2 linked regions of the Canis lupus familiaris genome follow. The protein of the gene in region 2 purifies or fractionates together with the protein of the main gene of each other region. This does not show direct contact. Links are inferred from orthologs where the notes say so. Each region holds a gene or a part of one and is shown on either strand. Other genes may lie near its edges.

Region 1 (4,251 bases), on a different chromosome or scaffold from region 2:
AGAGCATGTAACTCTTGATACTGGGTTGTGAGTTCAAGCCTCATGTTGGGTGTAGAGTTTACTTTCAAAAAATGTTGGACTTCCCAAGTTTGTCTTTGTCTATCTACCTCTTGTCCTGTCTACCCTCACTGCTTCAAATACCACGGAGTTTATTCAGCATGTTGTCCAAACCATTGTCTTGGGCCCATTGTCTTGTGTTTTGAACTTCTCATCCACATTATTCATTCTTTTTTTAAAAAAAAATATTTTATTTAGTTATTCATGAGAGACACACAGAGAGAAGCAGAGACAGAAGCAGGCTCCTTGTGGGAAGCCCGATCCTGGACTGGATCCCAGGACCCCAGGATCACCACCTGAGCCAAAGGCAGATGCTCAACCACTGAGCCACCCAGGTGTCCCCATTCTTCATTATTCATGTTGTTCTGTATACACTTCCATTAGTAGTTAGATACCATTCTGGGCGTAGTTGTCTGCTTATCAGTCTCCCCCATAAAAATAGAATTCTTCTAAGATAAGATGACTAGACATATTAGTAAGGACTCAATAAGTGTTTGGGTAGTAAAAGATCATCATAAACGGAGTTCATACTGTATGCCAAGTACCTCTGAGAACCTTACATATATAGTATCATTTAATTCTCACAGCAGCCCATAAGGGATGTAAGGTAGACATCCCTTCATCACACAGATGGAACAAATAAGGAAACAGGATCATAAAAAAGTGACCAAAAAGCATGCTGACGTTAAATCGAGTGCTAAAATGAAAGGATTATAGGCGGTTTTTCTCTTTCAAAAATGTCTTGACAAAAAAAAAAAAGTCTTGACTATTGCAGCGGAGCTGCCCGCGGGCCGCGTCCGAGCAGGCGGGTATCTAACCCCACAGCTTCAGTAGGTTAAGGCAGCGGCCGGAAGCTGCGGGGCGGGGTCTGGGGAAAGGGGAGGAGCCCGGGGGGGACGGTCCGGCAGAGACCCGCCTCCGCCGGCGAGCGGTCCGCAAAGGCGGGGCCTGCGGCGGGAGGAGCCTCGGGCCCCACCCACGGAAACGCTCCCGGCAAAGGACGCGCGGGGGCTGTGGGCGGGGCCGGGGGCGGGGCCAGGCTCGGGCCCCGGGCCGGCAGCGATTGGCTCCCGCTGGGAGGGGGCGGGCCCCACGGCCAGCCCCGCCTCGTCGGGGGGCGGGGCCTGCGCCGGCGCCTCCGGGAGAGGAAGGAGCGCAGCGCGGAGCCCGCTGGGGGACGCCCAGGTCTGCGGCGCCCTCGGCCCCAGAGGCGGAGCCGGAAGCTCTACGGGCTCGTCCGTGAGCCTCTGTTTTGGAAGCGGCAGCCCTCTTCCTCTCGACCCGCTCCGCCTGCCCTTGTCGCCGCTTCACCCGGAGGCCCGAGTCCCCTGCCTGGCCGGGCGGTGCCGCCGCAGCTCCCGGACCCGGAAGAGGCGCTACCCCGCTCCTCCGCCATGGAGCCCGCTGCGCCGTCCCTCACCGAGGAGGACCTGACCGAAGTGAAGAAGGACGTGAGTAGCCAGCCTTGCCCGGGCGCCGCCGAGGGCCGGGGGTCGCGGGTGGGCAGGGGCAGGCCCGGCCGGGCGGGCGGGCGAGGAGAGCGGAAACGCGGAGTGGGAGTCCGAGCCGGAGAGGAGCAGGAGCCTGCGGGTCCGAGGGGCTCCAGGTCCGGGCGCTGCTGCACGACGGCGCCCGAGGGACCTCGGTGGAAGCGACCCCTCGTGACCTGTTAATCCACGTTTAGGTCGCTGGGTTCTGAAACCCTGTCCAGTGGAGCGTTTCACCGCACTCAGCTTCTTGCCGACTCTCCACTCCTCCCCGGGGATCTCTACCCCCCACCCCTGCGCTTTGGGGCCGCGTCGTCGGGAGTCGACTGCCCAGGTTCCGCCTTGAGTCACACTCCCTAGGCTGCTGGCCCAACCTGGAGCGACAGCTGGACCCGAGAAAGGCTCCAAGCAGTGGAGCAAATATGTGAAACTCTCTTATAAAGGGGGGTTGGGGGAAGCTCAACAGCTGAAAGCACAACCTGGAATTCCCCTAGTAAGCAAACGCCCACATATTTAAATTGGGGGGTGGGTGTAGCCGAAAATTAATTTACAGGTAAATGCTGAAAATATTCAGTACCTAAATTATGCCCTTTTGCTTGGATGCTGCAGAACTGCACAAATCTTAGTACTTATTTGTTGAGGTATCTCGTTTCTTTTGCTTTTAATTACTTGTTTTGCCACGTGAGACCTGTAGGAGTACCCCCAAAATACTTCGTGTAATTTCGAATTAAAACCAGAAACCCAACAGAAAATGAGTTCTGCAGCACTTAATACAGAATTATATTTGTGAACTGGACAAGACAGCAGCTTTTTTAGATGTTCATCTACCTTAGATGCTTACCCCCTTTTCTCCCTTGAAAGGTTTATTACACTGCACTCATAATTACATAATGACAATTGGAATGACTCATTAACAGAAGGAAACTGGATATGACAGGGATTTGTGCCTTAGTTTGCTCATTCAGCGATACAGATGGAGCGCTTAGTATATGGAAGGCACTGTCCTTGGGCCTGGAAAGATACAAAAAAAAAAAAGATAATCTGGCCTCTGCTTTATATTCTAGTCGAGATAAAACCGGGACATTGATAACTACCACAGAATAAATGAGTGTTGTCTTATATAAGATTGGTGCCAGTGGAACCATGCACTTCAAGAGCTAAGCCTGTGGTGTTCCAAAATCTTTGTCACATAATTTGCAATGTTCCCATTTAATCTTTACAGCAGTGCTGTGAGAGGTTACAGTTGGGCATAAATATAAAACCTGTACACAAACACAGTTGTGAAGAGTGTCTTCCAGGTCTCTTTTTTATTTATTTATTTATTTATTTTTTCTCTTTTTTTTTATATATTTTTTCATTTATTCATGAGAGACACAGAGAGAGAGAGGCAGGCAGAGACACAGGCAGAGGGAGAAGCAGGCTCCATGCAGGGAGCCCGATGTGGGACTGGATCCCAGGTCTCCAGGACCACGCCCTGTGCAAAGGCAGGCACTAAACCATTGAGTCATCCAGGGATCCCCAGTCTTCAGGTCTTTATTCACTTTTTTTCCCTGTCAGTTCATTGATACTATCCATCTCCATGATTTCAATTTACAGCTATCTCAGCAATTCATAATCTTGGGGAATCATGAAGGGGTCTCAGGAGGTCTATGAAAAAAATGTATGTGCACATTTTTTTTCTTAGAGATTTTTTTCATGCTATTTTCAAAATGGTTGATGACCTCAGTCTTAAAATTATCATACAAATATTTGCACTTCCTTCTTTGTCAACTCTAGATGCTTGTTTCCAAATATCTACTGGAAATTTACTTTTATGTTCTGTACACTCCTCATCTTGTCAGAAATTGAACTTTTTATCATCCCTTCCCCAAAGCTGCTTGCTATATTCTCTGTCTTGATGGATAGTATGCCACCACCCCAGCCTTCTGGAAAGTCCCACTCTTTCATTATGCTCCTCCCTTCCCCCTGCCCCCATCAACTTGTTTACCTCATCTTTTGGATTACATGCTGCTGTGAGGTATGCATGGTTCTAACAATTCGAAAATTAGAAATTAAGACGCAATCCCAGTTTGAAAAGAGCTTAATTTCCTGGAAGGAGGGAAACAGACATAAATTAATAATTGCAAATTACAGAATAAGTGCAATGAATTTTGCATTCATCTAGAACACTATCTACTTGACACTCTGCTAAGTGCAGGATATACAGAGTTGAACAAAACAAATGTGGTTTTTGCCTGCTTCAAACATATAGGTCATTAAGGTTGAAGACAAATATATGCTTACAAATTATGCTAAGTACTATGAAGGAGACAAACAGGTATTGAGACAGTAGCAGGGGGAATCAACTTGACATAGGACGGTCAGGGAAGGTTACATTTAAAGTGGTTGCTGAAGAATATAGCAGAACTGGGGCAATAATCCTCTAGGCAGAGTAAGGTTTGTAAAGGAACTAAAACAGGCAAGACCTTGGTGACTTGGGGAAATTGGAAACAGGCAGAGGGTGCTCTGAGAAGTTAGGAAGGTTGGCCTAGAGCCAGATCATGGAGGATTTTACAGATGGTAATAAAGTATTAGGATTTTTCTCAAGTGTAGTAGGGGTCTGCTGAAGAACTATGTTAATATTTTTAATCCCTTTGCCTATTGTATGGACGGAAGGGAGCAAAAGTGAGAAGAGGGAAACTATATTAATTCATGGAATTAATATAGT
Region 2 (4,542 bases):
ATACTTAGAGCCATCCCTCACATATTATTTTTTAGGACGTCTTGAATTCTGAATCTGTTTTTATCCAAAGAATAGTTCTAAGACCATGTTGGGTATTTTTAAAAATGAAACATATTTTTAAAACAACTCTTATCTTTTCACTAAATTGGTGTACTACTCTCTGTAATTATCAGAAAATAATTTATCTGTTGTTAACCAATGATCTAAAAAAAAAAAGAACCATCCCTACTTGTTCAAGTAGATGAGGGTAACTGGCTTGAATCTGACTGATGAACTCTTGTCCTTTGATGCGTATCAAGTACTCACACCTAAAACGTAAACAAAATTAAGTTTGGGGGGTTAATTTAAATCCCACCATCTGTAGCCTGTTAAATATTTTGTGTGAACATTCATTTCACATACTACAGTAAAGGCGAGATGCCATAAGCAAGAGAGCCTGCATGGACTGTTCTGCTGTAGCCGAAGCTACAAGGGTCATGAGATGCTCAGTCCTCCTGGCGGCAAGGTAGGCTGCCTCCACTGAGAGCTCCCAGCTGCCCTCTTCAAAAGTTTGAAGACTGATATAGATGCTCTGAACATTGAGCTGAGGAAATAGGTAGAAAGCTCTCTAAGAAATGACACTGTTCACTCATAAGGTTTGTAGGTTTAAAAGTTAACAATATACAAAGAGGGACAAGAGAAGTAATGACGAAGGTGAACATATTTCCTAATAGGTCAGGTCTTCACAAGCTGGCAATTCCTGGATAATACACATCACAGTTGACCTCAAGCACAAAATGAACCCCTCACACTACCAAAAGCAAACTCACCCTTCTTTGTATATATTCACAAAATCAGCACCACGGAAGGCCAGCGGCACTGTTCAAAAACATCTGTGTAAGGGGTTCTTCCTAATCTTTGTGAGTTTTGAAATCTGAAATATTTGGGGCACGTAAAGGTGCTATAAATAGAGTATGATACTAACAATTTACGTTAGGAAAATACATCAGGATACTGAGTTTAGTAAGCAACATTAAAAACACCAAAAGTTTTGACCATGCAAAAATATAATCATAAGCTACCTGATTTCAATTTTAAAAAGGAGAATGTAAATAAGTAAAGAACAATCAAAAGTGTAAGAATTGACAATAAAATGCTCTGTAGTGATCAAACAGATGAGGTGGGTCTGGATTTACCCCGACCATCATATTGAATATTGCGGCCTGCCTGGTGCTTCTGAATCTTTGTATCCAGCTCTGCTTTTCCTGTCTACCCATAGCACTTGCTATCTCCTGACATGCCATGTAACTCATTTATTAAGTTTTTAATTAAGTGTATGCCTCTCTTGCTATTAAATTCACCTATGAGACCAAGGATTTTGGTTTTGTTCAACTGAGTGTTTTAACCATCAGAACAGTCCCTGGCCAAAGACAAGCAATTAATATTAAATGTTGAATAAATGGAAATAAGTCCAAAACATAAGAATGGCTGAAAAAAAGTTTCAAAACAGTATATATAATAATATCTAATTCATGTACTCCTATCTACATTTATCTGTATGTGTACATATTCATGAAGAGATGTCTGCAGGGATAGACATTAAAATGCTAACTGGTCCTCTTTAGGTAGATTTCTGGATGTTCACATTTTTTTCTCTGTACTTTTCTCCAGTATGTGATTTTTGTCCTATGATGAACATATATCATTTTAAAATAGATATCTATTTTTTCATTATACAGAAAAAAACCTACACCTCTATCTTCCATCGAAATAGTTCAGTGATTTTTCTAAGTGATCCATCCTAAGTTTATTCACAAGTGCATCTTTGAAACAGAGTAGAGCAACAGCTTATTCTAAGGGGAACACATATAACCTATGTGATGATAACAGCAAACACTTGCAAAGAGAGTGCCAAAGCAACAACCTGGGAAACCACTTGGCGTGCTCCACCCACGGGTCGTCTCCAGACTCCCAACACCGCAGTCCACCGTCACAGCAGAAGCACTTGACATCATCACTGTGACCTACAATTAATTGTGGACCAAACTGATGAATACATATAATATGCTCATTGAAAATGTGTGAGATGAAGGCTGACAACAGAGGAAGTGTCTTACCCATGTAATAAAAACCAGCACTAGCAAGCTGCTCAGGGTGAACAGGAGCTCGGGGTGGCCAGTTACAGAAGGTTCTGGAGCGGGCCGCGAGGGTTTGCATGCTCAAGTTGGAGGCTGTATATCTCACAGTGGCTTGAAGCTGACCTTCCACAAATGGGCAGTCGGGGAAGTGTCTCAGGTGTTCCGACAAAGCATCATCATCCGGCTCCCAGTTGCTGAGCTTCCCACCACAGGCAAAGCAGGCCACCCTGTCCCCGGGCCCCACATAGTAAAAGCCGGCTCTGGCCAGGGCCGACGGCAGTGGGAAGGCCAGGGGCCAGCCCTGGAAGGTGCACAGTCTGTCCTCCTCGCTCTTCATGGTGACGCAGGAGGGGCCTGCCCTCCAGGGGGACATGGCTGGACTGGGTCTGAAGTCGACAGGGTCCACAGGGAAGCTGGAGTAGGATGCGCTGAAATAGCTGCTGCGCTCCAGGCCAGGGGATTGTGCATGTGTGGACCTGGCCTCCGACAAAGGGGCAGGGGGCTGAGAGGCAGCCCCCACCGTGCTGACAGCACTGAGATTCTGGATAAAGCTGCAGCTCGGGTACAGGTTTCTGTGCTTGCCCGTGGGGCTGTCCCCAGCCTTCCAGTTGTCTAGCATCAGGCCGCAGCAGAAGCACCGGACCCTGTCCTTGGCGCCCGTGTAGTAGAAGCCGGCACGGGCCAGGCTCCTCTCGGACACGGGGACGCCTGCGGGGAATGTCGAGTATGTGGACATGCGGTACAGTTCACATGAGTGGTCGTACTTCAGTTCGAACACAGGGCTGCTTCTCAGCAGATTTGACAAGAATATGCTATTTTGTACTATGTTCATAGTGAGGTGGACAGGGAAGGAAAGGGACTAGCCTTTCTCGGGGGAGGTAGTTTTGTGCACGGCTCTAGATTTGGGTTGGTTTTCTCACTAAGTGGGACCCCAGACCAGGAAACCTATTGGCCCGTGCCTGTGCACGCAGGGCTTCGGCGTGGTGAGATGCTGGTTCTACACTGACAATTACGTACAACCACACCTTTGCACCATCTTCATACAGCAGCTCAAGCATGACAATACAGCACCTCAAAGAGAATCAAAACCCTTCACAGGAGCATGGAGCCCTGTAGGTCAGCAGGTGGCCCTCAGCGTCTGCGTCCCCCTGGTGGCCAGCGCTCTCATGGACGCCTTCGACCAGTCTGCAGATAAAACATGGGGCTTAGGCAGCTTGCTTGTCTTCACGGTGGAAAGTTATGCTCTGAAAGTCCTCTACAGAAAAAAAAAAATTCTAACTATGTTTTGCTTATGAAATTTCGCAGCCAGAAAAAGAGAAAAAGCCTAACACCTACCTCAAAAGAAGAATGCACTACCGTATTTCCCTGATTCTAGGATGAACTTTTTAAATATCTCTGTTATCTTACAACTAATAGCATATAGCATTCTAATTAGCAGCATTTTTATTTCCAAGAAGTATATAAAGTAATGGTATGTCTTATAAACAATGACATCTTAGATGCAATGAAATACAGTATATGTCAAATCTTGCTCAAGTAATTTTTTTTCCTACAATAATTTTAATGGGGAAAACAAAACAATCTAGAAACTAACTAATCTAGCCTAACTAGGAACAGAATTGGCTGATGCATCTTAAGGCCTGCTTAAAAATTTACTAAATAATAATTACTTTCACAGTCCGGAGCTTGGTTGCTGACTCAGTGATTGCACTAGAACTTAGCAAATTAAACATTCTATTCCAAATAAATTATCAGAGATGAATGCATTTGCTCAGGTGGTCTTTTGGGGCACAGCTTTGTGCTGAGAGACAAGACTAAATCTTCTATTCTGATGATGGATTTATTTTTTAAAAGAATCAAAATTCAGAGTGCTGAATTTGTAGGCTAAGATGGATAATCAAATCATACAAATTTGGCTTTAGTCAGAAATAATTTTACAGACAGCATACCGTGAACCAGAATTTATCATAACAAAAAATAATAATAAATTTACTTTGTCACAGTCTACTCTTTTTGACAGAAACCTTCTAAAAGTTCAGAAACCTCTGTTATGACTAGCTATTTGTAATATTAGCAACGACCAACAAACAAGTCGTGGTGAGTTCCCTCGCGGGGATCCATGTCAGGTCCACCAACACTGGGCCCTCTACTCCAAACTTTCAATGCTTTATTTCCAGGTGGCATGAGAAATGTGTCTCCATCCCAGCTATGATTTCCCTAAAAGCTAAGCTACTATGTCTCACTTTGCTTCTCTTTGCTACAAAAACCTTTCTGGTGCTAGTCACTGTCTCTGTGCACCTTGTCTCTGCTAACTCTGTTCATTTCCCAAAACCTAACCACCTCGCCACCATTCTCACTGTTACCCTTCTCAGAGATCACACCGCATTTGAACAAATGGAGTTTGGGATTTCTGACATAGGGACAT

What was found.
Region 1: the proteins of BIRC3 (region 2) and BCL10 purify together in Homo sapiens (affinity purification with western blotting; 5 studies listed by BioGRID and IntAct, with this or other methods). This does not show direct contact. The link is inferred for Canis lupus familiaris from reciprocal best matches to the Homo sapiens genes BIRC3 and BCL10.

The regions. Positions count from the first base shown.
Region 1 is NC_049227.1:63,256,858-63,261,108, forward strand, and holds the start of BCL10 (B-cell lymphoma/leukemia 10), read left to right. Parts: upstream 1-1,184; 5' UTR 1,185-1,451; coding exon 1,452-1,508; intron 1,509-4,251. UniProt on the Homo sapiens protein: Plays a key role in both adaptive and innate immune signaling by bridging CARD domain-containing proteins to immune activation.
Region 2 is NC_049226.1:29,475,902-29,480,443, forward strand, and holds the start of BIRC3 (baculoviral IAP repeat-containing protein 3), read right to left. Parts: upstream 2,950-4,542; coding exon 2,097-2,949; intron 2,004-2,096; coding exon 1,904-2,003; intron 309-1,903; coding exon 230-308; intron 1-229. UniProt on the Homo sapiens protein: Multi-functional protein which regulates not only caspases and apoptosis, but also modulates inflammatory signaling and immunity, mitogenic kinase signaling and cell proliferation, as well as cell invasion and metastasis.